Linked DNA regions of Macaca fascicularis. The protein of the gene in region 2 interacts with the protein of the main gene of each other region in a biochemical or structural test. Links are inferred from orthologs where the notes say so. Each region holds a gene or a part of one and is shown on either strand. Other genes may lie near its edges. The genes, in order: ALCAM and CD6.

Region 1 (15,972 bases), on a different chromosome or scaffold from region 2:
CTTCTACTCTATTTAATGCAAAAATAAAAATAAAAATTTTAAGCAGCTTCTAGGTGTCAAGTTCTTGACTAGACTTGAGGATACATAGACAAAGATAATATTTGGTATTCAAAAAATTTATGTTCAACTGCAAAAAAAAGTCACTAATATCATAATACGATGTGGTAAAAGCTACAGCAAAAACAAGTACAGGGAAAGGGAAAAGTTAAGACTCATTTTAGTCATTATCAACATTCCAATGTTGATTCTGCACCAAAGGCAAGTAAGTACAGGAAAGTTTTTTTTTTTGTTTTTGTTTTTTTTCCCATTCACAGTTCAAATAAGGCAACCTAGACTCTCTAAAACTATACAGATGGAGAGGATAAAAATCTACTTACATCAATTTCTAAGGTGAAAGTATATTTGAGATTTATCTCCCTCAAGAAAACATTGTGTTGGAGTGCTGGTTGATATCTTAATCTACAAATTCAGTTAACTTCTTTGGTTAGAGCTTCATAATAAGTTAAAGTAATCAAAAATAAAGTCTTTTTTATTATAAATTCCAATCTTCCTAACATTTATGGATTTGATATTACTTGTTTTCACTGTTTACAGTAGCCCCATAATCCATGATAAGTAGCAATTTTTTTTCGAAAAGCAGGTGTGTGAATATCCTACTGGGGAGTCAATCTACCTGGCTGCCAAACCAACTCATACCATGAAAAGGGTATTGCTTTATTATTCATTTATTCATGGAAACTCGTATGATGTAATAAAAAACTTGCTTCAGAAAAAGGGCCAGGTGAGGGTAAAATTTTTCTAAAACTTGAAATGTGATTTTGCAGAGCTAAACAAATTATTCATAATGGAAGTGTCATTGAGCAAAGGCCAGAAGACTACAGCAATTGCCATGATCATAATATGTTTTCCTGTGAATGAACATCAAGAGTCTATAATATTTATATGATTTGAAAAGATTGCAAAGGTTGAGTTTCATCTCATAGATGTTTTTCGTCTTACTTGGGCCAAGATTTTCCATCAGTTCCTTAAGTGATACAGAAAAGAGCTAAAACAATAATAATAACAGTAATAGAGAAGCAAATCAGAGAAGTTGGACAGCTGTCTAATTTCTGATTAGCCTATTCCCCAGCAGTTTAGTTTCATTGTGTTGAAGTACTATGAATTCTTAGACCAGACAAGCACAGACATGTTCATTGAAGTACCTCAACGCAAAGTCAAATTAAGTAAGCCTTTGGTTAGAAGCTGTTTTGGATTGTGCACAACTCTGATTCCCCCTTATTTGAATGGATAATTGAGAACTGACTGGATAAGTAAGAGAGGAAGCATTAAAAGCTAATTTCATTCTTGGAACATAGACTACAATAATGGGCTATGATAATAGGTTAGCATAAAACAATTACTGAATACCACAGCACATTTGGAACTAGGCCTATCTGAAATATATAAGGTATTCCATTCAATAATAAGGGAGAAAAGAGAATGTAAAATTTATTATTTAAGCAGAGAAATTAGCTGCATGAAAATATCAGTAACTCCAAAAATATGGTAATGTCTTACGTACTATAGGGAGACTGTAATAATTGTAGGATGTAGCCTTACCAAATAGCCTGCAATATCCTCTTCCTGAATATAGAATATCTATTTTAGTCTTGAATTTACTCTCCACAAGGAAAGGAAAATTCTACCCTAATAAAAAAACTAATCAAAAGTATAAATGGATTTTTTCCATTTCTTGTTGAAAATAAACTAAGCTGAAATCCAAAAGTAATAACCAAATAAATGTTATGACCCACCATTCCCGAGAAACCATTATTTAGTATTCCAGTAAGTTAGTTCATTTTTCGTATGTCACATACATGTGTCACGCACATAATGTGTAAGAAATGAGATGAGCCTTTGTGAAAACTTAACAATGAAGAATAAAAATAACACCTAGTGAGAAATTACATTTAAGTTTCTATGTATACATTGAGACAGAGAGATACTCTTCTATCACAGCTATACCTAAGTGGATCGTCTGCATATCTGGGCTGTAAATTGCATGTGTCTACTTGAGTGAATACCTTTAGGGAGCCAGAACTCTTTGATGGTGTTTTATTCTAAATAAATGGCCAGAACAGAAAGAAGTGTGTTTGGAAATGTAAAACATGGTGATTATAAAGCATTTAAAATACTATCTGACAAACTGCTGTCATCTGACACCAAGTAATACTGACAACTTAGGTGGTACTAAGTTTTACAAAGGCCCATGGTTAGTCGCATGAAAATTTGAGGGAGAAAAAGAAAAAAGAGAGAGGAAAAAAAACCATATTTCCATTATTTTAATAAAATGATAAAAGTGATAATTAAGTGGAATAAATTAAAGAGTGTTATTCTATTAACAATATAATAAAACCCTTAATTAATATAGCATGTTTTACTTAAAAAATTTGAAATGCTGAGCAAAGGAATTCTAATCTCAATCACAACCATGCATTGCACAGAAAGAAAATTCACAGATGGGAAATGAAAAAGAGCAGAAAAATAATTTTCCCAAGGTCACAACATTCTTACATGACATAGTTAAAAACTCAACACATGAATACTTACTACAATATAAAATTTTTCTAATAACACAAGACTATTAAAATGGGTTTTTATTAATGTTCTTTTTGATAAGTCAGTGGTAGACATGCATTTTCATCTGAATGTCTATTAAAAAAGATAAGCTAGTTTGAGTTTTCTACAAAGTAAGAAAAGGTTTGGAATCTGGTAAGACAAGATATTTTGGATTTCTACAAGTTTTAAAACAAGAGAAAAGTATTAGTATTTTCTATTTCCTTCTGTCTTGCATTTACAACCATGTTGCAAATCAACTTCTCTGTTGAGCAACTTTAGGATGTACAGTATGAGGCTTTGTAACATGAACATTTAAGCATAAACCATCATTTATATCTCATTCTAGGTACTATGTGTGCAGTTTAAATAGGGGCAGGCTTGCAGGAGGGATGGGTTACACTACAGGGCTTTCTGAGGCCTACTATCCTTTCCTGCTTTTGGGTCCTCTTTTCCCAGGAGAGTGGAAGGCTAATTTCTCTCCTTCACGCTTTTTTTTTCCCCCTACTAAGGCTGGGAAGAGTAAGCATAGATGTTATCATGAATTTTTATCATGAATTTTTAAAGGTAGAAAAAAAAAGGAAATTAGAAATTGGGGTCCACTGATACTTTTCTAGTAATACAATTTATATGAATTTTGTCTAGACTGAGATCCTTAGAAAAATAGTGTTGAAAAATGACTGTGCCTGCCTAAATTGGTTTTTTACCTTAAGACTTCAGAAACAAAGAGTTTTTGAGCTGGGAGGCATTTCAGAGTGTAGGTCTTTAGTCTTGTCTTTTTGTTTTATATGAGAAAACTGAAGCCCAAAAAGGTTAAATGATTTGCTTAAGTGCCTGAAGGTAGCTGTCCTGAAGAAAGCCTAGAAAAGCAATTTACTGCAAATAATACTTCATTAAATTGTAAATTGCTATTGGATTAAATAAATCCTTAAGGAAAAAAATAATATATATTGGCTATTAAACAGTTTTCAGTTTTTAAATTAATCAATGTTAGTAGTCCTACATCAATAGTCTTTGAAAGGACATTATTTGAGTTGATGCTTTCCCAAGTCCTTTTGAGATCAATTGATATGTTTCAAACATAATATCCCACTGAAGAAAGCTTTATGTGTGCTCATGTCTTAGGATGAATCTTATATCAGTGAGTAGTTATGAAAAATCCCATCGAGGGGTTCACACAGATGACCCAAGTGAAGAGTTAACTGCAGTGCCCCACCTCCTTGTTGTAAATAATCCAGAAAAGCCTTTTTTTTTTTTTTTTTTTAAAGCAATACAAAATGTCACCACAGGCTGACGCTCTTTCTACAAGAATAATGAGATTATTGCTACCTCGGATGCTGAACACACATTTCATTGCCTTTATCTCTGAATTCAGTTTTCGTTTTCCTCTCCTTTCAAAACAGGTAACGAGGCACGCCTAAAATATATCAATGACTGTGTAGCGACTACAGGCCAAAAGACCCGGGGAAGCAGTTTCACAAACTCGAGTTTTTGACCTCTACAACTGGACACACACTATTAAAACTGCTCCGGAAATGAAGGGTGGCCGGCGGGGAAGTCAGTTACCCCCCTCAAATGAAGCCAGCTATTGGCACCGCATCCCCACCGGGCTCTGTTATTCAGAGGGCCCCGAAGGAGGCGCACTCACTGTCCAAGACTTGCGTCCTCAGTGTAGACACGGCGCCTTTAGTGCTGTAACCTTTCCCTTTAAAACACACTGATATTGCAATGAGAATTTCGGCAATGCCAGCTCGGTAATTCACAGAAACCACGGATCTGAGGGTCCAGAGCATCGGATCCTCAGATTCACCGTGGCTGGCTGCGGTGAGCCGGGGCCAGCCGCTCGCTGAAAGCGCGCAGCTCCGTGCCCCCTGGACACACGAGTCTGTGGCGCCAAAAGAATCACCGCGCAGGAGGTCTGAAAGCGGAACTTTCCCCCTTTTAGCAGTTAAATGTGTAAAAAAAAAACCTATCCTGCGACGTGGCCCGCCTGTGACGGCACAGAAAAGGAAACTGGGTATGTGCCTGTGGTCAGGGGTGTGGACGTAGGTGAGATTACATTCTCCAAGTATCGAGAGGGTTAATCGGAAACCAACTCTGGGCGTGTGGACGTTTGCATCTTACAAACCGACATCACCCTTGTCCTCCCTTCTTGACTCATTCCCTGGCTCCAAAGTGTCATTTTCTCCATCGGACAGTGGAATCTCGAAAAAGTGAAATCCACACTGTGCCAGGCCCGAGGGGTTCTCGCCTTTCCATCTACCTCCCCAGCGTTGTTACACTAGGACACCTGCTTTAAATCCGGTTGAACTATGGTTTCACAGTCCCCGCCCCAGAGCCCGAGATTTGTCAGAGAACGCAGACGCCTTTTTTTTTTTTTCTTTTTTTTTTTTTCCCCCTCAGCCTCAGAAACATCAGGTGAGCTCATTACCTCACCCAGAAATGTAACTTTAATAAAGAGATCTGGAGAGGGCACTCCTCCCGCCCACACACACAGCAACGGCAGCAGCAGCAGCTCACAAACACTTGTAATCTCTTCCACAGGCTCTAGCCCCCAAACCCCTCTCCCTGCCAGTTCCTGGGAGAGATTCAGAGGCTTTCAAACCTCTTCTGTGACCTGAGCTTGCCGACAGCTGAAGGGATATGCACGGATAAAAGGAAGTGAGGTTTTTCTTTGATAAAAACTAAAGAAAAAGCTAAGAACAAACAGGCCAAAATACCAGGAAGTAGGAGTTTAACTGGCAACTGTCTACGCAGGGATAGAAATAAAAACTTCAAAGAAAAAAAAATCCCCCAAATTTTCAGTTTAGGGGAGCAAAGGAACCTGCTGCTCTGTCAGGCAACTGTGAGCGCACAGAATACCCTGTTAGGAACAACTTGTGTCAGCCGCCAGGCGGGTCTGAGGATACCAATGCCAGCGGACGTCCCCGAGGGTGCGGAAAGGGATTTCCCGCGAGATATTTTAGTTGTTGGGAATTTTGCCTTTCTCCCCCCCCCCCCCACCCCATCTCTCTCTCTTCTAAGACTCAGTACAGAACTGAGAACTGAGGTTCTATGAGCAGGTCCTGGAAATTCACAAGCGTCTCACTGAGGTGTCTCCCAGACCTAGCTACTAATTCCTGTTCAGGCTGTGTTATCTGCCTGCGGTCACCCTTACACTCACCACCCGCCCAGACAATGGACGGGGACCGGAGGGGGGAACGTTGAAACCACGATTTGAAGCATCAGTAGGTTTCTCAAGGTGGGCGTGGGGGGCAGGAGGTGATTAAAGTCCTCTCCTTCTGTACCCCTCCCATCCCTTCCTCTGCTCACCAAGGGGAAGTTACAAGGGGATTTATCACGAAAAAGTGCCGGCAGTTATTTCATCCGAGAGCTAAGCGAAAGAAAAACCGCTCGGGGCGCAGTGACGTGGACTTGGATACCCAGAGACAGGAGGAACTGTCAGAGGGCGAGAGTCCGCCGCCTAGCTGGGAGTCGCAGGGACCAGCGGAGAGCGTCAGGCGAATCCTGCCCACGGGCCCCTGCAACCACAACCCCGGAGCCCCAAGTTCTTGGAGATTCACCCAGTTTCCCCAGCTTCATGCCCAAACTTGAACCAACCAGCCAACCCCAAACGTGCGGCACAGGTGACCGAGCCCGGGGACAGCTCTGTGCCGGGACAGAGGTCCCCTTACCTCATCCATGCGCCTAGGCGCACTGCCTCGGGGGTGCGAGGCTGGGACGGGGACCTAGGAAACTGCTCCAGGCCCACGTCTGTCTGGGGCTGCTCCCAGGCCCTTGCTCACCTGGCCTGAGGACGGTGGCGGAGATCAAGAGGCAGAAGAGCAGACGGCAGGAGCTGGCTCCCTTGGATTCCATATTCTTCCTCCTTCTTGGAGGGCCACTGACGGAGTCCACGCCGCAGGAGGGGGCGTCGTCCCGGGCCCCGCGGTGCCCGCGCGCTGGCGGGTCCCGACACAGGGGCAGCGTCTTCTCCCAGACACACCGTCCCCTGGGCTGTGGCGCTGCACCTTCGGGTCTCTGCCGCACGCAACTTTCCACCACGCAATGCCCCCAACTCCTCCTCCCTCCAGCTCAACACCAGCCCACTGGCCCTTCGGCTGCTCCTCCGGGGACAACGACCCTCTCTTTCCAGGAGACACTTGAGTAATTCGGAAAGGTGTAAGCGGTTCTTTTCGCTGGTATCTTCTTTTATTTTCCTTGTCTTGGGATGATAATAATAATGGCAGTGGCAATGTGCATGAAACGCCGAGTGCTAAGGACTCGCAGGAGGCAGCAACGGGGGGCGGCGGGTCTCCTCAGGTGGCAGCGGTGGTAGCAGTGGCAGCGGCAGCGGCGGCGGCGGCGGCGGCGGCGGCGGCAGCGGTCTCCGGGCTGCTCTGAGTAGAGGGACTGGAAGGCGTGTGTAAGCTGCCTCTTTCCTCCTCTCCCCGCCTCCTCCCTCCCTCCGGTCTCCTCCCCACTTCCCCGGACGCGGCGCAGAGCAGGTGGTTGAAGCAAGGATCCGCAGCCTAGAGGCGCTGCAGGACTGAGTCCGAGCCCTGAGCCCAGCTCCGGGATCGGGGAGAACCATGTGCCCCTGTCCTAGCGTCCGGGTGGGCGGGGTTTCACCGCGGCTCCGCCCCCAGGTCCAGGTCCGCCAATAAGGAGAAAGCACAGGAGCCGCGCGCTCCCGGGAGAGCCCTGGGACTAACACTTTCTGTGATGTTGCAGCGCGGTAGTGATAAGGCCTTTGGCTTCCAACTCCCCACCCACCCCGCTGAGGTTTAAAAATCGACTGCCCTCTTCCTCCACCCATACGCCCATCTCACTGACTCATTCCTCAGGGATTTTTCTCCGCGGTGCTGCTGCAGCCTTCTGTCCTGTAAAGACAATAGTGGGGCAGGGCGGTGGCGGTGGGGAGCGAACTTTGGGTCCAAGAGCCGTAGTGAAGGGAAAAGGAAAGGGCAGGAGGAAGTGGCAAAGGTGGAAACTTGCTTCCTGGGAGTTAACAGGAATAGCTACTGGTTGGCAGGGGCAATCCCCGTACTGGACTGATTCCTCCTGTACTTTTCGAATCTCTCTGCTCCCCCTGCTCACTCCCACCACTTCCCTCACCCCCGGCTGGCATAGACTTTGTTTTAAAGGAAGACCACGTGAGTCGACTGCCCGCTACCAAACAGAAGATATTTGTTTTTCCCGGGGGAAATTAAATCCGGAATTTCTAAACCGTACTTCGTCATACGGATTTTCCCAATGTCTACAAAAGCCCTCTAGAAAGCTTGTCACTTTTTTACTTTTGTTAAGCGGTGATTTTAAGTTACAGACAGAAAATTATCAAATTATTTCAGATTAAAAGCCAAGTCCGTCTTGGTCCGTTCTCGAAAACCAGGCACTCCAGCAGATGGACAGGCTTCTCAGGCAATTTCTAAAGATTGAACCACCTCCCAGGCGGAACATCGCGAAGCTGTGTCGCTTTCAAATCAGGCAGAGAGCATGAAGGGATATTTTCCTCTAGAACACCGGGGTGGAGCTGTCGGAGCCCTAAGTGGCTCTAAATCAGGGATGCAGGATCACAACTCTCATCACCAAAGAATAATAAAATCTTGGTCCCTGAAGCACTTCGCTGGGGCATTAAATAGCCTTTCGTACATCACAGGGTCACCCTTTTGTGAGACTGGTCTCCAGTAGAGGATGCCAACTAGTAATCGTTACATACTGAACTTTCATCAGAAGACTGCGAGTTACCAGCGAGACTGGAGACTCGCAACACACACACACATACACACACACACACACACAGAGATTTTAAAAAGTATTTATCTTTTAGTGCTCTAAACTATTAAGCCCCATCTTCAGCTGTAATTTTTCTCAAAAGCCTGCTTGTCCTGTTCGTCCAGTTCTTCTTACATTAACAATATTCTAGAGTAGAACTCTTATACTATATTTTTTTTCTCTCTCAAAATAAGTAGTTTCTCCCACTTAGTTTAAACATTAACATTTCATTTGCATCTTATGAATCAACAGGAAGGCTATCGCTAGGAGGCAAATGCCTTTTAACTCTATATTCCATGAGCTAAGTTTGGCTGAAATGCTAGCATTTCCATGGACTCCTTTATAATTCCTTTAGGGAATTGTTTTCTTTTTCACTGTGGCTATAGGTGGGGCATATTAGAATAAATTGTCCTAACAATATATTTAACCTAGGCCCTCGAACCCTCTATCTGACCTCCTCTATTTTGCAGTGGGAGTTTATACAGCCTAATTGTTTAAAAGTAGATTTGCAAAAGGAAGACTGATTTGGGCTCTGATACTAACTGTATGATCTTGGTCAACCCATTTAACCTCTCTAAGCTTCAGTCTCCTTTCTTGTAAAAAGTGGTAATAGTGCTAGCCTCATGGGATTGCTGTGAGGATCAAATGGGATCAAACACACAAACACGTGGAATTCTGGGGGCAACTGACAATACAAATATGTCCATATTATACTCATACACATAAACATGCATATATATATGTGCATATGTATAATATATATTTGAATGCATAGTCCATTGTTTCCAGAATTGTTTTTAGAAAGGAATGTGTCCTAGTTTAGGAAAATGCCTTGATAAACCACTTGGAATAGTAACTCCAAAGGCTATTGGTCATAAAAAAATAATGGTGAAACTGCTCTATATTAAACAAAATAATAACCATTAAAATAGAAATTTGGCCTGGGAGTGGGGGCAAAGGCAACCACACAAAGCATGAGTTTAAAAATGTTCAAAGGTCGTTAGATCTATTAATTAGCAACACTTACATGTTAGAATATTCTAAGCAATTTATATGAATTAGATGTATTCCCCTCATAAAAAGTTATTGAAGGAGGTGCTATTTTCATCTTCATTTTACTCACGAAGAAAGTAAAACCCAGAGACTTGAAGCAACTTTTCCAAGGTCACCCAATGATTCATAGCAATGGTAAAGCCAGGGTTCTACCCTAGGCATTCTTATTCTTGAACTGAATTCCAGTCTACTTTGCTCATCGCTATCCACTTTGCTTATCAAGAATGCATAACAATAAATGTATGGCTTTTTTGGTGGGGTGATTGATTTAAACGTAAGTTCTCTCATCCTTTCACATACATTTGCATTAAGGAAATTTACTAATGAAGCAGCACACCCTATCTGCATAGGCCAGGTACAGTGCATGTGAGATGACAAGACCATTTCTAAACTGAAATAATGTAGCATAAGCAAGAGCTCAGAGTTAGAAATAAACATGAGAATGTAAGCTCCACAAAGTAATATAATAGAATTTATCTTTCAAAATCTAGTCAATGTGGGATTGGATCCATCTTACTTAATTCTTGAGAGGAAGAGTGTTTCCAGCTACATGTAGATCACAGTCACTTTTGTTACAATTGAGAATACATAGTATTCCAATAATATTTATTGTATAGTTTAGTCATGCATCAGAGCATCATAAGCGTACATCTTGCTGAAAGGGAAAAATGAATAACATTTATCCAGGGGGGAAAAATTTCACGTTACCTGGGACATGAGAAGAGCTTTGTATTTTAAGTATAAAGGAATTCATCATCAATCAGGATGATATGCTCAAAGCAGTGACATGGTACCAGAGGCAAGTTTCCTACTTAGGGTCTGTTGAGATCAGGACTCAGGATTCCCAAGGCTCAGGCCAGGACCCCTTCCCTGTACTAAAATTTTAATCCCATCAGTATGTGACAACATAGTCAATTGTGTGTGCATTTGAAGAATGGAAGTAGTTTTTCTCCCCTTATTAGTCACCACAAAATTTCCACTGGAGATGAAATTTCAACAAAGATAGTTTTGGAAGGTGAAAACATTTGTTCTTACCACTGTATATCATTGTGTTTTGTTTGCCTTCCTACTCCTTGAACAAAATTGTATACAATTCAAGCGCATGCAACAAATCTGATTCACTCTTCTCTCCTTCAACCCTCACCTACGGTGAGTACATGTTCAGCCATACTTTAAAAATAGATTGGACACTTGATAAATTTTTGTGAATGAATGATAAGTGATGAGAAAAAATACCTAATAGAATATAAACCTTCAAACAAACTTACAAGGGTTCATGTTATGAGAAGATGAAAGGGGTATCCATTGGGTCTTCAATGATTGGTCTAGGCAGACTAAGGTTTAGGAAAGGCAAAAAGAATGAGTCAAGTCCTAGTCAACAAGGTGATAACTTTGAAGTATAAAGTGAGGAAACAATCTACGGGAGAAAGACTGTACTAAATTATGTGCCATCAATTAGAATAAAACAAAATGGCCCATGCTGAGCACAGAAACCTGATTAGTAAAGGTTCTAAGTGACCAGGCAAGGGCTTAGGCTAATGTGCTGATGACAAAGATTGAAATAACGGCCTAAGTGGGATTTATATTAAGTCTAGGAAGATATACAATTTTAAAGAGGCACAGAGATTACATCTGTATAATATAAATTTCTGTTTTTTTCTAGACTCCAAGTTTTTTTAAATAAATGATTTCTAATGTTATTGCATTAAATACACATGGAGGACCTCTGGGTATATCTCTTCCTGAGTCCATTGAATTTTACTGTTTAATTTCAATTGTTAACCGTGTCGTCTGTCAATGAATTAATACAATTCTGCAACTCACCTTTTCAATAATGCTAGCTAATAAAGACATATCACTGAAGCTCAGGAGAGTAAAAACTTTCAAAGTCTATGATAAACATTATGTTCTTATTTCACAGAACGTTCAGTCTGGGTACAAAAAGAAATGCATAGCTATTTCAGTTGAACTAGAAATCCACTTAGTCATTTTCCTTCCTGTCTCAGACATGAGGAATGAAGAAAGAATTTAGCTACGCTATTTGACTATGAAACTTACACTATATAAAATGAATTTCAAAAACTCCCAGTGTATTAAAAACTCATAATTCGTGGGTGATTTCAGTAAGTGCATAAATGTACGTACAAAAAGTGTAACAGTCTGGGTTTACCCCTTAACTTGAGGGTTTCTCTTCCGAGTGTTCCCACTTTCAACTGAAATAAGCAGTTCTTTTAGTTTTGAGTAAGTAGAAAATGACTCAAGGTATGGTTATTTAAATGTTTGATGCTTTAAAAGAAATTCCAACTTGAATTATATGTTTTCAAGAAGTTTCCCAGAGTTATCTCTAATTTCTTTGATATATATTGATTACCCATTGTGATCTGCAATAGTTCTATTCAGGAATATGAGGTGAATATATAATGACTATAAAAATATGAAAATAATATATATTTGATTTTCTAAAGCAAAAACGTCACCTTGGATCTAATGGATTTCTAGAAAGTCAAATTAATTAATTAATTACTAGGCCCTAATTATCCATACTATTTTCCCCTTAAGTAAGATAGTTAAGCTTGCAGGAAAGTATTAACAAACGATTGTTGGACAAATGTATGTTTTTGCTCCCTAAAGAGCAAAAACTTTTTATTATTGATTAGCAAAAAAAGAAGTATTAATAACATGGAGTCAAGGATCATTGATCATATACTATAAGCAAGAACTTTTGAATTTTAATATTTTTCAGGGCCTTAGAACTATCTTAAGTGAACTGTTTTCAATCTTTAAAAGCAACCCTTTTTCTTCTAATATGGGAATACTCTGAAGTCCAGTTTTATATTTACCCCTTGTTCAATTTATTCAAATCATGGTAGTCTCCTCACTGCTCCTAAATGTACTTTGCATACTCCAACCTCAGTGCCTTTGCACTTCCTCTTTCCACTCCTTGGAACTCTTTTCCCCAAGTTATTACTGTAGCTTACCTCCTCATTGAAGCCTTCCATAAACAAGTATTTAAACTGTCAGTCCCAGCCCCCAAATTCCTTTTCCTGCTTCATTTTTCTCCATAAAGTTTATCACCATATAGCATAACATCCATTTAACTCATGTAGTTTGATTATTGTCTGTCTCTCTACCATAATGAAATCTCAATGAGGGCAGAAGTTTGTGTCTGTTTAATATTCTTCCATATGTTTAAAATAGTCACATAATAGACACAGGAGACTATTGGATTCAAAAAGTCAGGTTCATGAATACATGAATTATTGTGCAAGGTAATTAATAAGCTGATAGAGGTGGGGCTGTTTGGGCTGAATCTTGATAAGAAGCCTGAGGTTTCACCTCCTCCTGTAGACACTCTAAAGGTTTCCAGGACAGTTAGATAAACCACTGGAATAATCTAACTACCTCATATAACATATGAGGTAAGTAATTGAGGTCCCAGGAGGCAGAACACTTAACCAAAATTAACATAGCTATGGGTACCATTCTTGTTTAAATGCAAACTACTTCTTTCAAGTAGGGTAAATATACAAGATACCCTATAACTTTTAAGTCAAATTCTTAGTATAATAAGAAGACTGGATGCATATCAGACACCATTAATCAATTTCAAATATGGCACATTTATCCAAACTCTTTTCAGAGCAAACATTCTGAATGATGTTCTGTATAACATTTCACTAAGGCATGATTATGGATGCAGTACCAATATTGCAAAGTCTACAGACTTAGTTAAGTATTAAAGAATTTAAGCCTCAGTGTTCTTTATACTTTGTTCCTTACCGGGTGAATTTGGCAAAATTATAATTCTAAGCAATGTATTCCACAAACATAGATGATTCATAACCTATTCAGCTCACAGTGCTATAGGACAAATATTTAATTTAATTTAATGTCCAGCGTTTTAACATTACGTGGAGATGTTTAATGTGTTTACTTTTCTTTGTAAGGGAAAGAAATTTACTTAATAATTGTACCTCAAGGTGAAAAGCTTGTGAGAAAATGCAATACATATAAAACAGTTATATAAGACAATGCATAAAAAGATTTATAAACATGTATGTGCTTTCATTGAAATCACCAGAATTCTGTGATGTGTTCTAGATGACAAGGAGGTAGATGAAATTATTTCAGACCTTGGCTTCCGGTTTTAAAATGCTGTTAAATCTAGTTAATTGATATACCTCATAAGGAAAATTATTTGTCTTATTATGGAGAATGGCATCCAAGTTTTAGAGTGAAACATCCTGTGCAAGAGTGGTTAATGTATCCAATTAGAAAAGAATTTCTAACTGGTTGCAGTGGCTCACACCTATAATCCCAACACTTTGGGAGGCTCTCTTGAGTTCACGAGTTTGAGACCAGCCTGGGCAACATAAGGAAACCTCGTTCTTACAAAACCAACCAAACAAACAAAAAATTAGCAGGGTGTGTTGGTGTGCACCTATAGTCTCAGCTACTTGGGAGGCTGAGGTGAAAGGATTGATTGAGCCCAGGAAGTGGAGGCTGCAGTGAGTCGTGAACTGTGATAGTGCCTAGGCAACAGAACCAGTCCCGGTCACACACACACACACACACACACACGCACACACATAGAATCTACAAATGGTATACTTCTCAAGTAATTTTTCTAGAATCAAAGACATTTCAAAAAGTGCATAGTCCAAGTTTATTCCTTGGATTTTTCAGGCCTGAGGCAAATATCGAGGCCAGGATTAAATGAACACTAGATGTAACCTCTGAAGCCAAAGGAACTCCAAGGAGAAGCTTGAAATGCACATAAAGAGTGGGAATCACATCATTTAGCCAGACTGAGAAGGTGGGCCTTAGTTACTCACACCAGTAGCTTTGTCCCACACCAGAAGCTGAGTCATCTTCTATTCTCAAGCTTTCCCTCCTACTGCCTCCAGCTCCTCAGATCTTCCCAGAAGGACTCAGAAAAACTCCCAAATTGCTCTATCCTGAGGTAGCTCTACCCCGTCTGCATAAATTCCCTCTGTGAAATTTAAGTTGAAATAACTTCTCCTAGTGATGATTTGTCCTTCCAGTTTGAAAATGATCAACATCTCTTCTCTCCTTTCTTTTCTTCCCAACTTAATGCCTTGCCTTTGGCCCGTTTTGTTAAGACTTACCACGTAGAATTAAATAATAAAGCCATGGGCCGGGCGCGGTGGCTCACGCCTGTAATCCCAGCACTTTGGGAGGCCGAGGCGGGCGGATCACAAGGTCAGGAGATCGAGACCACGGTGAAACCCCGTCTCTACTAAAAATACAAAAAATTAGCCGGGCGCGGTTGTGGGCGCCTGTAGTCCCAGCTACTCGGGAGGCTGAGGCAGGAGAATGGCGTGAACCCGGGAGGCGGAGCTTGCAGTGAGCCGAGATCGCGCCACTGCACTCCAGCCTGGGCGACAGAGCGAGACTCCGTCTCAAAAAATAAATAAATAAATAAATAAAATAAAGCCATGATAATTTATGAATGAAAGAATGATCAGTGAGTATATTGTGGTCTGTGTGCCAATGAAAGAAAGAGATGTCCAAAGAGAGATGAGTCATAGGTCAGAGAAACAAAAATAGAGTAAATTAGCGAATCTTAGAATATAGGCCAAGAAAGAAATTTAGCTCTTAGTATTTTCCCATTACCTCCTCCTCCCCTCTTTTCTTAAAAGTTAAGGAGACATTATTTTAAAAGTTAAGGAGACATTATTTATTTGTATTATCCCAGCCAGCCAGCAGGAGTCTGTTATCAGGTAAGGATTTTTTTTTCCCATGGTTTTTGTAATGAAAGTAACAAAACCCAACTCTACACAGCCTAAGCAAAAGAAACAAAGAAGATGGGGGCCGGACGCGGTGGCTCACGCCTGTAATCCCGACACTTTGGGAGGCCGAGGTGGGCGGATCACCTGAGGTCAGGAGTTCAAGACCAGCCTGGCCAACATGGTGAAACCCCATTTCTACTAAAAATACAAAATTAGCCAGGCATAGTAGTGTGCGCCTGCAATCTTAGCTACACGGGAGGCTGAGGCAGAAGAATTTCTTGAACCCAGGAGGTGGAGGTTGCAGTGAGCCAAGATCGCACGCACCATTGCACTCCAGCCGGGGCAAAAGGAGTGAAATTCCATCTAAAGGAAAAAAAAAAAAAGACCGATGAGGAGGGGACTTACTGGTTTAAATCACCAGGAATTCCAGAAGTGTGTATTTGTTTAAGCATAGCAGGAGCCAGGCATTTGAGCAAAGTTGTCAAGGCTCTTTGTCCTTCTTTCCATATTTTAGCTCTACGTGCCTTTGGTTGTCTTTATTTTCTCAATTTTCTTTGCTATAGCCGGGCTTCCTCTCTACTGAAAACATGGTTACCTGAGGATCTGAGCTTGTAGCCACAGAAACTGAAATCCTTAAGAAAGAGAAACTTCATGGAAACGGTTTGATTGGCTGTGCCCATTTTTTGAACAATTTACTGTGAGCAAGAGGATCCAGTACCGTGATTGATCAGGTAGTCCTATGTCCACCCCTGTAGCCAGGGAGCAGGAGGGCATCATGTATGACAGCCCCTCAAAATCACAGGGACAGAAAGCCATT
Region 2 (15,494 bases):
TGCTTTCATTCTTCCTGTGCTTACAGTCTCCTTCGCAGCCCGTTCCACCGGAGTCTTCTTCAGACTACCCCATCGGAGGTCCTGTCCCACTCGGGGGCATCTGCTTGGGGCTGGCCTGAAAAAGCCGCCTCCTTCCTGGGCTGGAGTCGGGGCTCCCAACCTTTTTTCTTCTCCTATTCTGAAACCAACCGCTCCCCTCCATCCCTTCCCTGTCTTGTTCCATCACTTTCCAGAATATGGGGCACAATTAGAGAAGACTTTCAGGGGCACACAGTATAACTTCAGGTGGTGAATGAAGTTAGCATTAAATAACACTGAATCACGTGGCAATAAAAGTTTAAATTATTATTATTTTTCCAATGTTCTGTCATTCCTTCTGATTCTATCAGATAGTCTGATGAGGATGTGGTGTTTTGCTTTTTTTTCTTTTTTGAGATGGAGTCTCGCTCTGTCACCCCAGCTGGAGTGCAGTAGTGGCTCGATCTCAGCTCATGGCAACCTCCGCCTCCCAGGTTCAAGCGATTCTCCTGCCTCAGCCTCCCGAGTAGCTGGGACTACAGTGCCCGCCACCATGCCTGGCTAACTTTTGCATTTTTAGTAGAGACAGGGTTTCACCATATTGGCCAGGCTGGTCTCAAACTCCTGACCTTGTGATCCACCCACCTCAGCCTCCTAAAGTGCTGGGATTACAGGTGTGAGCCACTGCACCCTGCTGACGATGTGTCTTTTAACATCTCTAACATGGCTTTGTTTTTAGTATGCTTAGTTTTACAATTACCTTCTATTTTAGGCAAGTCATATAAATAGTCCCTTTAGGTTTAATATCTTCTAATTTTTTTCAAATCAACATACACACCTAATTTTACATACATAGAATCATATCATACATGATTTTAAAACTACAGCCTTTTACCTTCATTGCTTGCTTTTCCTCCTGCAATCTTCCATGGCTGTGACTGTGTCCCAGGACCAGCTGCGTAATTTGCAGGGCCCGGTGCAAAATGGAGATGCAGGGTCTTTGGTTCAAGAAATTATGAGGAATTTCAAGATGGCAACAGCAGAGCATTCAAGCAAGGGCCAGGTCCTTCTAAGCACAAGGCCCTGCACACAGTCCACCAGCCCGTGGAGCTAGTCCTTCTCGGCCTCTTCCCCTGAAGCCCACCCTTTTAATTTTTCCATTTTGATCATCTGCTGTGTGTTCTCCCACACTTGTCTTCATGTTCCTGTAATCATACCAGTTCACAGAGGCGGTTTTTGGCCTTGTTTTACAAAAATTGTATCATATTATATTCTATTCTTTGCGTCTTGCTTTTCCTACTCGACACAGCTTGGAAATCCTGCCAACCCATCTGGGTCTATTTCATTCTTTATAAAGGCTGCATAAGATGCCACGCTGTAAATGGACCATAATTGATTCAATAATTTCCCCTGTAAATGGGCATTCACGCTGTTTCTAACTTTTTGCCATTCAAAAATCTGCAGTGGACTGGGTGCGGTGGCTCACACCTGCAATCCCAGCAGTTTGGGAGTCCAAGGCAGGCAGATCACTTGAGGTCAGGTGTTCAAGACCCAACCTGGCCAACATGGAGAAACCCCATCTGTGCCAAAAATACAAAAAAATTAGCAGGGTGTGGTGGTGGGAACCTGTAATCCCAGCAACTTGGGAGGCTGAGGCAGGAGAATTGCTTGAATCTGGGAGGTGGAGGTTGCAGTGAGCCGAGATCACACTGCTGCACTCCAGCCTGGGTGACAGAGCGAGACACTGTCTCAAAAAAAAAAAAAAAAAAAAAAATCTGCAGTGAATATTTTTATGTTCAGGTGTCTTTAATGACATAAAAAAGCAAATTCACAGGAAAGGGTAAAGGTTTGCTCTTACTCTGTTTTGTGTTGCTATAACAAAGTGCCACAAAGTGAGTAATTTAAAACAAAAAGAAATTTGTTTCTCATAGTTCTGCAGGTTGGGAAGCCCAAGATTTAAGGGCCACATCTGATGAGGGCCTTCTCCCTGCATCATAACACAATGGAAGGCATCACATGGCCGGAGAGTGCACAAGAGACAGAGCGAGGGCTGAATTCACTTCTACAACAAAGCCACTTCTGCAATAACCAACACACCCCCATGATAACAGCATTAAGCCGTTCATGAAGGCAGAATCCTCATGACTAATCAGCTCTTTTCTTTTTTCTTTTTTTTTTTTTTTTGAGACAGAGTCTAGCTCTGTTGGCCAGGCTGGACTGCAGTGGCATGGTCTCAGCTCACTGTAACCTCCGCCTCTCGGACTCAAGCAATTCTCCTGCCCCAGCTTCCTGAGTAGCTGGAATTACAGGCGTGTGCCACTACACCCGACTAATTTTTGTATTTGTAGTAGAGACGGGGTTTCACCATGTTGACCAGGCTGGTCTCGAACTCCTGACCTCAGGTAATCCGCCCACCTCAGCCTTGCAAAGTGCTGGGCTTACAGGCGTGAGCCACCACGCCCAGCCCTAATCAACTGTTAAACATCCAACTTCTCAACACAGGTCATTGGGGGATAAAGTTTCCAGCACATGAACTTTGGGACACATTCAAACCATAGCAGGCTGCTTTTCAAATACATTTATTGTAGCAAAAAAGTGAACCAATTTAAAGAAAAGTGTGAGGCACAGGGCCAGGCAAAGGTGGTAACAACGGGCCGGGTGCGGTGGCTCATGCCTGTAATCCCAGCAATTTGGGAGGCTGAGGCGGGCAGATCACTTGAGCTCAGAAATTCAAGACCAGCCTGGACAACATGGAGAAACCCCATCTCTACAAAAAAAATACAAATATTAGCTGACATCGTGGTGAGCGTCTGTAGTCCCAGCTACTCGGGAGACTGAGGCACGAGAATCGCTTGAACACAGGAGGCAGAGGTTGCAGTGAGTCGAGATTGCGCCGCTGCACTCCAGCCTGGGCGACAGAGCGAGACTCTGTCTCAAAACAAAAAAGGTGATCATGATGTCTGAGAAACGCTGATCTTGCATTCGGCCCTCTGTGAAATGAGGCCTGGATGGAAAGATGGTTCCAGGTAATTTCTGTTTTTCTTCCTGTAGTGCAGAAGTCAGAGAACAGAGAAGCCAGGTTCCCTTCCTGGGATAGGGGATGGGAGAATGCTTGTTGCAAAAATAAAGCCCTCAAGGTTATCTGCTTTCAACCAACTGCCTTGGAGCTGGCAGCTGCTGCTCACTCTTTCATTCGGTCAGTCAATCAACAAACACTGCCTTGGACACTGTGGGGGACACAGGGCTGACCCAGCCGTGGGCCCTGCCCTCTAGGGTTTTCCGATCTAGGAGAACACATTTGTGTCTTTATGCATGAGAGAGTGGTTTTCCAGACCCAGAGAGAGAAATGATATAGAGTTGAGTTAAAGGCCCCCCACCCCAACACACATCACATTCACACACACAGTCTTAATCACATATGCACAGAGTCACTCACACACACTCACATGCACACACCTCACAGTCATACACACTGCAGCCATCGTTCAATCCCCCTCCCCCACCGCATGTCGTAACATTGAAAACTATGCTGGAGCACTGGGACCGTAGCTGTGGGAACCGAGATTCTGAAATCCCAACTTGTGGGCATCTGAATTCTCGCGCTGATTATTATAATACATCAGCCACGGAGTTTGTGCTCTGAATTTGGAGTCATTTCTCCTCCAGGAGGTCAGGCTGGGCAGATAGCCAGGGAGTTAGCGAGGACGGCAATTAGAGGGCTGATGACTTTCTGCCTGATGATGGAGAGGCCCACACGGTTTCCTGGAGAGGGCTGTCTGCCAGGGTGTATACACGCACACACACATGCTCAGGCTCAGGGGGCGTGTCCGTGGAATCTGCTCAGGTGAAACTCCAGGAATGTGTAGCGGTCATTCCAAGTCTTCAGCCTCTGTATCGGTCAGGCCAGGCTAGGCAAGGCTGTAGTAACAAGGACACCCCCAAATCTTCATGGTTTAACATGATCATGGTTTACTCCTTACTCACACAAAATTCAAGCCGGGTCAACATCCCCTTCCCTCTTGCAGTTCCTCGGCAACCCAGGGCCTCTAATATGCTTCAACAGGGAAGACATAAGTGCAAAAGTCTCACTACCTCTTCCCTGCTTTGGCTCAAAAGTGGGCACACGTCTTCTGTCTAGGCTTCAACCAGCCCACCCTAAGTGCAAGAGAAACCAGGAAATGCAGAGGAGTTCATATGCAACCACAAAAGTCCCTGCCCCAGAGCCTCCCTTTGTGCTTTGCAAGCCCAAACATCCCAGCCCAGAGGGGAGGCAAGTCCTTGAAGACAGTTTAAATCCAGGCTCTGCAGCTTGCTCACCGGGTGGCCTCAGGCCATGCATCAGTCAGGGTCCCAGCAGGAACCAGGTGGCACACCTAGAATAGGAATTTAAAGGGGACTCATTTACAGAAGAACTATTTACCAAGGTAATGCAGTAAGTAGAATCTAAGAGCAACTTCTGGCCAAAGGAGACACAACCAAGGAGCGGTCAGTGAGTCCGAGTAGGAGACAGTCAAGGAGAGGTCACCTTGAATAAACAATGTCCTTCACATGAGGGACACAGCCTACCCGAGGGACCTCACAGGTGGGGCCAGAGGAATAAGTGTCACATCTTCACTCTCCTCACTTCTTCCTATCTCTGCTAAGGCTCCCCATTGGCTGAATCTGGCAGAAGCCATAAGGCCCAGGAAGACAGGGGTTAATTCAAACAGGTCGGCCTCCCAGGGCAGAATGGATAGTAGCTCTGGTGGAATAAATGGACCCTATCTGGCAGGGACAACTGATTTTTGCTTTTGGAGCCTCCTTTTCCTAATCTGTAAAATAAGAATGCTAATACCTGCCTCATTGTGTTGTTGAAAGTAAATGGAATAGGCTGGATGCAGTGGCTCAGACCTGTAATCCCAGCACTTTGGGAGGCTGAGGCAGGCAGATCACCTGAGGTCAGGAGTTCGAGACCAGCCTGACGAACATGGCTAAACCCTGTCTCTAGTAAAAATACAAAATTAGCCAGGCATGGTGGCACATGGCTGTAATCCCAGCTACTCGGGAGGCTGAGGCAGGAGAATCGCCGGGAGGCAGAGGTTGTGGTGAGCCAAGATCGAGCCATTGCACTCCAGCCTGGGTGACAAGAGCAAAACTCCATCTCAAAAAAAAAAAAAAAAAAAAAAAAGAAAGAAAATAAATAGAATAATATATGCAAATACCTGTCCTTAGCGAACGTTAGTTTCTTAGTGTCTGAAAACACTTTGCAATCCAGTGGTTCCCAGTTGAGGATGTGCCAATTATTCTAAAGTCTGTTATGAAATTCTCAAATTCTACAAATTTTTTTTTTCTAAATCACTCCCATTTTCGAGTTTTTCTATATATCAAGCATTTTGTGGGCTGTCTAATTTCAGTCTCATGATATTTTCCTAAGTATCATTGTTGAAAAATTGGGACTGGCACAGAAAGATTAAGTCACTCATTCATGGTCACGAAGCCAGTTTGTGTGTCTGGCCCCAACGCCCACTGCCATTCCTACCTGTTCTACTCCGATTTCTGAAGATGTGTGTGCAATGAATAGATAAAGCGGAGGATCTTGAAACGCCAATGTTTGAGAATTTTCCCTACCCTGAAGGGAGGCAAATGCAAATGCACCCAAAGTTGAGGACCATGTCTTTTCCAAAGGCCTCATGTAGCCACCACAGGCTCCAGGAAGTGCCCCCTGCTCATCAGGGTGCCTCTGTGGCCTCCAGGCCTGAGCTCACTCACCCACCACGCTCCTGCTGGTTCATTTCAGGTCATCTGTCTCCAGCCCCATCTGACCAGCTCAACGCCAGCAGTGCAGAGAGCGAGGTCTGGCAGCCAGGTGAGCAAACATTGTCTCTGGGGGTCCATGGTCAGCTTTCTGTAGGTGGTCCCCCATGGTAATAAAGAAGGGAAGGACATTTAGGATGCCAGGAGGCTCCCTGACTTCAGACAACACTTCTTCCTGACCCATCACCCGAAGTTCCGCTATCAATTCACTTTGAGATCGTAGAACTACCATTTTTTGAGAGGCCACTGATAAGTCACATACAGGTGGGCAGGTATGCCTGGAGCATTTTAAGGGGATTTGTGGAGAACAAGCTAGAGTTCTTGGTGGGGGTGGCAGGGTTCCACCAGATGGTTCCTTGATTTACTCCACAGATATTTATTAAGGACCTACTCTATGCAAAGCTGCATGCTGGCACTGGGGGTACAATCCTGGGCTAAAAGGGGCAGGTGGTTCCCAAAGAAGGGGTTCTGGGGAAGTGAGGACCACCATCAGCTGAAGCAGCCCATCATCAACCCCATGGCCAGCCCTTTGGCAATCCTCCAGGGTTCCCTGGTTACTGTGGCAGCCTCTAGGACAGTACCCTCAGAGGAGCAGAGGGGCCTCCAGGGGAAGCATGTACCCATTGGGCCAGGGCCCCTGAACTCACAACTCTGCCTTTCTTTCACAAACGGGTGCCCCTGGAGACAGGAGCAAGTGAGGAGGGTTTGTGGGGGCTGGATCCCTGGTTGTCTGTCACCCATCTTAACCTCTAGAGTCACTCCTGAGCCCCACCTTCGCCTGACTCTAAGGAGAATCACAGGGTCAGGCCTCAAGGGGGGATCAGGGATGAGCCGGCCCGGCTCCATTTTGCAGATTGGAAAGCTGAGACCCAGAGCCAAGCAGGGCGTTGTCAAAGGTCACGCAGAGTCAGTGGCAGAGCCTGGGCAACCGCCTGCCCCGGCCCACCGGTCTCAGCTCACTGGTCTGACACTTCCAGGGGAGCGGCTTCCGGTCCGTCTGACGAACGGGAGCAGCAGCTGCAGCGGGACGGTGGAGGTCCGGCTCAGGGCGTCCTGGGAGCCCGTGTGCTGGGCGCTCTGGGACAGCCGCGCCGCAGAGGCCGTGTGCCGAGCACTGGACTGCGGTGGGGCGGAGGCAGCCACCCTGCTCCCCCGGCCGACCCCCGAGCTGCCGCCCCCGCCGGCGGCCGGGAACACAAGCGCTGCCGCTAACGCCACTCTGGCCGGAGCACCCGCCCTCCTGTGCAGCGGCACCGAGTGGCAGCTCTGCGAGGTGGTGGAGCACGCGTGCCGCAGCGACGGGAGGCGGGCCCGCGTCATCTGTGCAGGTACGAGTGCACCCCCTACACAGGCCCCCACCTGCCCCACTCCCCAGGCCTTCAGCCACTGCCCCTGGCTCCAGCCCCTGGACCCAAGCCTCGCCCTCCAGACCTCCACCCTCACCGCCTACCAGTGCAAACGCACCGGGTTCCCACACCGGAGGACGACGTCGAGTCACTTCCAGATCTGAGCATTTCCTCGGATCTGGCCCCCAGACTCCCCTACACTTGGTCCCTAGTCCCACTCCTGGATTCCCAGTTAACCCGGTCTCTAACCCCACTTACTGGGCCCGCCGCTTCCCTGTCCCCGCCCGCTCTGGGTCTCTATCTCCTCCCCTTTCCCCATATACATAAACATGCCAGGTTCACAGGATTCCCCTTAGCGCTGTGGCTCCCAGGATACCAAACCTGCCCTCCAGGCCCCGCCCACCAGGCCTCTGGTCCCTCCCACCAGCCTGCTGCTCTACCTACCCCATCTGCAGCCCTGGGGGGATTCCCAGTCTTGCCTACCCGGCTACAGCCTTCTTACTGGGTCCATAACATGCTCACAACTCTCCTGCCAGTCCAACCATCACCCCAACCCTCCCTTCCTTGCCGGGTGCCCCAGCGTCCACAACCCCCTCCCACCCCTAGAGAACCGCGCGCTGCGCCTGGTGGACGGTGGCGGCGCCTGCGCCGGCCGCGTGGAGATGCTGGAGCATGGCGAGTGGGGATCGGTGTGCGATGACACTTGGGACCTGGAGGATGCCCACGTGGTGTGCAGGCAACTGGGCTGCGGCTGGGCAGTCCAGGCCGTGCCCGGCTTGCACTTCACGCCCGGCCGTGGACCTATCCACCGGGACCAGGTGAACTGCTCCGGGGCCGAAGCTTACCTGTGGGACTGCCCGGGGCTGCCAGGACAGCACTACTGCGGCCACAAAGAGGACGCGGGCGTGGTGTGCTCAGGTCAGTGTGCGGAGTCACTGAAGCGCGGTCACCACTGACACTCACCATAGGCCTACTGGGCACCAAGCCTGGAGTTAGTGCCGGAGAGGTGGTCCCTGTCCTTGAGAGGTCACAGTTCAGGAAGTGAGATGAGACTGAGACAAACGTAATTCAGGAGAGAAAGTGGTAAATGCCCCCAAGAAAGGCAGTCAGGTGGAGTCTAGAGGCAGCAGGCAATGTGGAGCTGGAGGCTAAGGCTGACCACCTCCTGAAAGAGATGACATTAAAAGTGAGACTCTTCCTGAGCGGGAGTTGGTCACCTGCATTCAAGCAGCAAGGAGAGACTGAAGGCAGGGAGGCCTCTGAGGAGGCTGTTGGTCTGTCCAGGTGAGGCCAGAAGGTTCTGGACCAGCCAGTGCCTCTCTTTGATATGCAGGAGATGGGGGAGGTGGGAGTGTTAAAATGTGGATTCTGATTCAGTAGGTCTGAGGCAGAGCTCCAGAGTCTGTTTCTGACAAGATCCCAGGCAATGCCGATGCTGCTGCTCCACAGACCACACTTATCACAGCAGGGCTGGCCAGAGCAGATGGGGCAGGTGACAGGGGGACACAGACACAGGAGGGAGAAGACACAAGATCTGGAGACCAAATGCCTTCATTGGTGCCTGCCCTGGTGGGTCTGGGCTGACGGGAATATCTGCCCAAAGGATCCTGACCGGACTCTGTCCCCTGCCCCTTTCCTGCAGAGCACCAGTCCTGGCGCCTGACCGGGGGCGCCGACGCCTGCGAGGGGCAGGTGGAGGTACACTTCCGAGGGGTCTGGAACACAGTGTGTGACAGTGAGTGGTACACGTCAGAGGCCAAGGTACTCTGCCAGTCCTTGGGCTGCGGAACCGTGATCGAGAGGCCCAAGGGGCTGCCCCACTCCTTGTCCGGCAGGATGTACTACTCATGCAACGGGGAGGAGCTCACCCTCTCCAACTGCTCCTGGCGGTTCAACAACTCCAACCTCTGCAGCCAGTCGCTGGCAGCCAGGGTCCTCTGCTCAGGTACCCCATCCCACTCTACCCCCCTGATATGAGCCAGAATACTACCTGAATCCATGTCCTAAAAACTTACAGCCCAAGGACCACAATAGGCACCAGATCGGCAATGGCACATACGGCATAAGAAGGACCGTTGTCCTTACGGTGCCCAGGCAGACAGTGCTAATTCATCGAGGCATTTTCAGATGCCCCACTCAGCCCCAGAATGACGAATCGTATATGAAGACATTATATGCTAAGCAACGGTTCCTCTTAACTGGGATTGACTCAAGAGTTGAAACCAATTTGCCATCCCAGGCCTGGTGATGATAGTAAAAATAATATTAGCAGGCCCTAGTAAAAATATCGATGACAGCTTCTGGAACCCTGATCATATGCTAGGCATTGTTGAGCACTAAGTAGCTCTTATTTCAGCTAAGCCTCATACGCACTGTATGGTTTGGGTTTTACCATATTTCACCAAATCTAAGATGGCATTGTTTATAAGTCACACCATTATTATTTTATGTACCGTAAAGAAGAACAAACGCTGCCAAAATAAACCACCAAACGTAATGATTGAGGCTATGATCCCAGTTTCAGACGTGTTAAAGTCTGAAAAAATGTGAGTGTTAGATAGATCTGAAGAAACATGATATTTGCGTTCTTACGGCGTTCAGACACCTGGTTACAAATTCCAGCTTTGCCATTTACTGGCAAGGAGGCTTCCAACAGTCCCTTAACCTACAAGTGTGGATGCTGATACTAGGCACCTCGCAGGATAGCTGGGAAACCTGATGGTCACTGCTGAGAGACTTTTAAGCTCCTATCTTTGTGAGCATACCTGCCCAACGGGAATGCCGACGATGATAATGAAGATAATGTCAGCTCATCATCTCCCTAGGCCGATTAATAACAAACTGAAACTGAATGGAACAGGGATTTGTGGTCTGTAGCAGCTTACGCAGGAAGAAGGGATAATTCTATTAGCCCTTTATTCTAATCAAAGAGCCTTCCCAGCATTTAATCCATGAGTTCCTCCTTACTGTGGGGGGAGGAGGGGAGGGATGTAAGTTTCCTTAGCCACGTGCCCCTGATAGGAGCACAACCCTAGTTCTGGGTTCCTTGTCTGTCCCATTCACTTTCTAACCCAAGGCCTGGCACACAGTAGGTGCTCAGTAACATGCATTGAGTGACTGGGCGGTGCTTTCTGACAGCTTCCCGGAGTTTGCACAATCTGTCCACTTCCGAAGTCCCTGCAAGTGTTCAGACAGTCACCACAGGTAAGTGTTGCTGGGTACTACATGGTTTCTCAGAAGCTTGGACACGTGTGTGTGTGTGTGTGTGTGTTTCTGTGCACACCTGTGTTGGGGTTGAGGATGGTTTGGTCCCCATCCTCCACTTCCAGCCAATGGACTTGCCTCCCCGGGGGCTCTCTGGGCGTCGCTTTCTACTCTTTCTACATCCCCTCCTTGCCAAGTCAGCCCGTAGATTACTGAGTCCTGAGACTTCCTGGACAGGAGTCCATTCCCCCACTTTCCTGTGAGCTCCTGGAGGGAAGAAGGAAAGAGCTAGAGAGAGCCGATACCACCTCGAGCAGGGGTCAGGGTCAGGGGGCGGCAGGGGTAGGGTGATCTTGGCCCAGCTGGGTAGCGGGAACATTGGGACACAGCCCTGTGTTCATAACAGGCCAAACACTGGGCCTAGTGCTTTGTAGCTATTATTTCCCAACCCTTTAATCCTCTCTGTAGCCAAATGGGAGAGGTCTTAGTATAATCCTTACATCAAGAAAGGAGCTGAGGCTCTGAGGCTGAAGTCATAGCTAGTGATTGCTGGCCAGAATTGACAACCAAGGCTCTGAATTCCAGGTCCGTCCTTGGTCTACCCACCAGCTGTGTGTAGCTTGGCTGGCATCAGAGCAGACTCCCAGGACTCAAATCCCAGCTGTGCTTCTTGCTAGCTGTGTCCTGTTGGGCAACTCTTAACCTCTCTGAGCCTCAGATGCCTCAATTATAAAATGGGGGTGATATGCATATAGCACCTTTCTCCTAGCATTGCTGTGAGGCTCCAGTGAATTAATTTTTGTAAAGCACTTAGAACAGAGCCTCGAAGACTGTAAGAACTGTCTGAAGGTCTGCTGTTGCTATGAGTATTTAGTTCAGGCATAGAGCCCCTTTGCAGTCCTAGGATACCCACAGGGGCTGGCCCAGACTCCCTTGCTGTGCCTCCTAGCTCTCTGTCATCTTCTCTCAGACACCCCAGAAGCAGTGAACAGGGGTTTGGGGAGAGGGCACAGAGGCCCTAGCCATGGATGACAGCACAGAGAGGAAATGAAACACACAACTGCACAGGCTGCCGGGCGAGCTCCTGCCAGGCCCTGCAGACAACCTGCACACACTTTCTCTTCCTGAAGTTGGGGTGGGGATCCACACCATCCCGGAAGGGCAAAGAGTGAAGCACAAAGAGAGATCCAGGGACCATGCCCCGGTCCTTGGTTCATCAGCCCCTCCCTCGGCCACGGCCCTCTCGGCCCACATTCACGGGTCTCCCCATGGCTGCAACACCCAGCCTCACTCTCACATCTACTTCTTGCTGCCAGATCCAGCTCCCATCCTGGCCCAAACTTCCCCATTTGCAGACAGAAAGGGGAGAAGAGAAAATGAAGACAGGGAGCAGGTTCTCTCCTGGGGAAGCAGACACTGCTTCCAGCAAGGAGGTCTGGATGATCTCATCTCCCTCCCCGTCGCTGTCACTACTAGTCATCTAGCCCTGTGGTCTGCTCACTCCAGGCACCCTCCTCACTGCCCCCTGTATCCATTCTTGTGCTTTGCATTCTTTCAAGCAGAGGGGAGGCTGAGGGAGGGGGAAGGCAAGAAGTCACCCCAGAGTGGGGCTGCAGAGGCGGGAGACCCTGAATCCCAGACCCCACTCCTGTCCTCGTGGAGGGGATGTCTGGTGGGAAGGAGGGGGTCTCAGGCACAGCTCTCCTGATGGTCTGTTCACTGCCAGAGGTGGCTCAGAGTCGCCATCTCTGGGAAGTCAGCCTTGGGCTTCCCTCACAGAGAATGGGGTGCCTTTTATACGGCCTCATGCCTCCAGTGTCGCTGTTCAAACCTCCATCACAGCAGGTACCTCACCATATTGGATTGGGGTACTTATTGACCTCTCCACTAGACAAAGCCCTGCAAGGCCTATGATACTGTTGTCATATGTGTAGCCCCAGGGTCTAGTGCCAGGCACACAGGGTACTCAATAATTGTCTATTGAACAAAGACTAAATACTGAAGAGCTAGCAGACAGATAGATCTCTGCAACCTGGTGGCCAGAGTTGTATTTCAGGCAGTAATTCATTTAATCAATTAATCATGCATGCAGTATGCATTTATTGAGCCCCTAATGTATACCACCCACTTAAAAGAAGTTGGGAAAAAATGGAAAAAGAAAGCAAGGAGGAAGATAACATAAAAAGGGAAGCAGGTCAGCTTTATAGAGAATGGAAAGGCAAAAAGAAGGTTGAGTGCCCATTCCTCTTCCTGCATTGGAATTCTTGTTTCCAGAATCTTCTGTGACAGTGAAACTAGAGAACAAGGAATCTCGGGAGCTAATGCTCTTCATCTCCTCCATCGTTCTGGGAATTCTTCTCCTTGGCTCCCTCATCTTCATAGCCTTCATCCTCTTGAGAATTAAAGGAAAATATGGTAAGTGCAAGGTTCTGGGAGCCACTGCCATCCCAGGGGGGTGTGGGCCTCGGCAGAACCTCCGCAGCAGTGGTGTGGTCCAGCAATGGCCACCAGACCCTGGCCCTGGGGAACTCCCCATGGTGGAAAGGATTTTACCAGCATGCCCAGCAGTCGTGTACCCACCAGCGGGGAGGACCAGGCTCTGTGCATGTGTGTGCGTGTGTGTGTGCGCGTGCGCGTGCCTGCAAGTGTTGGGGGAATGAGGAGGGTGGTGTCTCGATGAGAACAGAATGGAACCAGGTAGACTGGGAGAGGGCAAAAAAATGACTTGTAGAATTTCTGCCTCCCCTCCCTCAGCCCTCCCCGTAATGGTGAACCACCAGCACCTACCCACCACCAACCCAGCAGGGAGCAATAGCTATCAACCGGTCCCCATCACCATCCCCAAAGAAGGTAGGATGTCCCCCATCCTGGGTGTGGGAGGGCTGGGGAGGACAAGAAGGGTGCACTTTCTGGAAGGTCAGCACTGCTTAGGTCCAAGACGTACATACGGCTGGAGATGAGATCTGGGCCAGCCCATTCACAGCCCTGGGACCTTGAGCAGGCTCAAGTCATCCCTAGACGTTGAAGGGCAGATGACTTCCAATTCAGTCACACTAGGACTCTAGAGTTTTGAATTCTGGACAAATATAGGCTAAGCACGGTCTAGATCTTGGTTCTCAGAGGAAAACTCTGTTCTGCTTTGCTCTGCTATTTGGCTGGTAGGCTTGTGATATCATCATCCCTGTCAGCATCCTGCCCAATTGGCCTTGCGAAGCCCCATCAAGATTCTCCTAGAATGTGGTTTTATTTCATATTTCATGTTTTCTAAGCAAAAAAAAAAATTGGGCCCAGGCACAGTGGCTCACGCCTGTAATCCCAGCACTTTGGGAGCCTGAGGTGGGCAGATCACTTGAGGTCAGGAGTTGGAGACCAACCTGGCCAACATGGTGAAACCTCGTTTCTACTAAAAATGCAAAAATTAGCGGGGTGTGGTGGTGTGCACCTGTAATCCCAGCTACTTGGGAAGCTGAGGCAGGAGAATCGCTTGAACCTGGGAGGCGGAGGTTGCAGTGAGCTGAGATCACGTCACTGCACTCCAGCCTGGGAGACACAGCAAGACTCTGTCTCAAAAAACAAAAAATAGGTCAGTCATTCATCCTTTATGAGATATGGACTTCTGCCTCTTGAAAGTCTTGCAGAGGAATTTGAGCTTAATCACCTTGCATTATGAATATATTCAATCACCTTTATGGGAAAGAGTTCAATGACATAAAAACCAATACAAAACTCAGCCAAATATTGTAAATATCCTTTGCACAGAGTGTCCATATATTTGAGAAGAGAATGTGAATACAGCATCTAGCACAAGGCTTAGCACAGGGCAGTTGCTCACCGAATAGCACAGTCTAGAGGTTTAGAGCCAGACTGCCGGCTCTGGGCCAGGTAAGAACCTGTCTGTGCCTCAGTTCCCTCCAAGGTAAAATGGGGATGGTAATGTACCTACTTCACAGAGTTATCATGAGGGTTAAATGAGGTAATACTTGTAAGTGTTAGAATAGTGCCTTACATATAGCAAGTACTGTGTTAAGCGTTTGCTAAATAAATGTTTAGTTCTCCATATTGGAAATGAATGAAGGCAGCCTAGAAACTTCAGACTGGGTGGTTTGTGCAAGATGGGCTACCCAGGCCGGGCACGGTGGTGGATGCCTGTAGTCCCAGCACTTTGGGAGGCCGAGGGGGATGGATCGCTTGAGCCCAGGAGTTTGAGACCAGCCTGGGCAACATTGTGAAAACCTTTCTCAATTCAAACATTAGCTGGGTGTGATGGTGCATGCCTGTGGTCTCAGCTACTAGGGAGACTGAGGTGGGAGGATCACCTGAGCCCAGGAGGTCAGTGCTGCAGTGAGCTGTGATGGCACCACTGTACTCCAGCCTGGACAACAGAGTGAGACCCTGTCCCAGAAAAGAAAAAAAAAAGGGCTACTTGGTGCTCTCCTGCCACTCTGCCTCTCACCTCTGCTGTTCATACTCTCTACCATCTCTCCCTATACCTTTCTGCCCACCACTTTGCCATGCCCCCGACTCTGTTCTCTCCCCAGTTTTCATGCTGCCCATCGAGGTCCAGGCCCCGCCCCCTGAGGACTCAGACTCTGGCTCGGACTCAGACTATGAGCACTATGACTTCAGCGCCCAACCTCCTGTGGCCCTGACCACCTTCTACAGTGAGTGCCTGGCTGGGTTCCCGAGGGCCCACCTGCCTGAATCAGGGAGGGGACCCCGAGGGGACCGTCAGTAGTCCCACCTAGTAACCCCTGCATGACGTGGACAGAATCCCCCTGGTTACCCACTGGATTGACTGTAAATGGTCCCACATTGACGTTTTCACAGTGCTTTGTGACCCTGGGGTCATCTTGATGTCTCAGGACATCTCCGCTCTGACCTCTGTCTCTCCCATGTTTGTCTCCGGCCATGTAGGGTCTTAAAACCAGGCCTTTGACACTCACCTAAAGATGGCTCTCTGTGTGAGAGATGGGGGAGTGCAGATGAGACACACAGTTGGCAGGGGTTCTTGCCCGCCCATATCCCTCCATGTCCCATCCTGCCCTGTCTGATCCCATCAGCCCCACCCACTTCTTTACCTCCACTCTCATGCCAGCTTGCGCCTCATAGCTGGCTCTTTTCTTTGCCTTCTGG

Evidence for each region.
Region 1: the proteins of CD6 (region 2) and ALCAM form a complex in vitro, tested with the Homo sapiens proteins (4 studies listed by BioGRID and IntAct). The link is inferred for Macaca fascicularis from reciprocal best matches to the Homo sapiens genes CD6 and ALCAM.

Annotation. Positions count from the first base shown.
Region 1 is NC_088376.1:177,703,885-177,719,856, forward strand, and holds the start of ALCAM (CD166 antigen), read right to left. Parts: upstream 7,151-15,972; 5' UTR 6,454-7,150; coding exon 6,381-6,453; intron 1-6,380. UniProt on the Homo sapiens protein: Cell adhesion molecule that mediates both heterotypic cell-cell contacts via its interaction with CD6, as well as homotypic cell-cell contacts. Promotes T-cell activation and proliferation via its interactions with CD6.
Region 2 is NC_088388.1:13,257,929-13,273,422, reverse strand, and holds part of CD6 (T-cell differentiation antigen CD6), read left to right. Parts: intron 1-5,794; coding exon 5,795-5,863; intron 5,864-6,788; coding exon 6,789-7,139; intron 7,140-7,763; coding exon 7,764-8,075; intron 8,076-8,799; coding exon 8,800-9,102; intron 9,103-10,295; coding exon 10,296-10,361; intron 10,362-12,437; exon of another isoform or gene 12,438-12,635; coding exon 12,636-12,776; intron 12,777-13,115; coding exon 13,116-13,211; intron 13,212-14,899; coding exon 14,900-15,022; intron 15,023-15,494.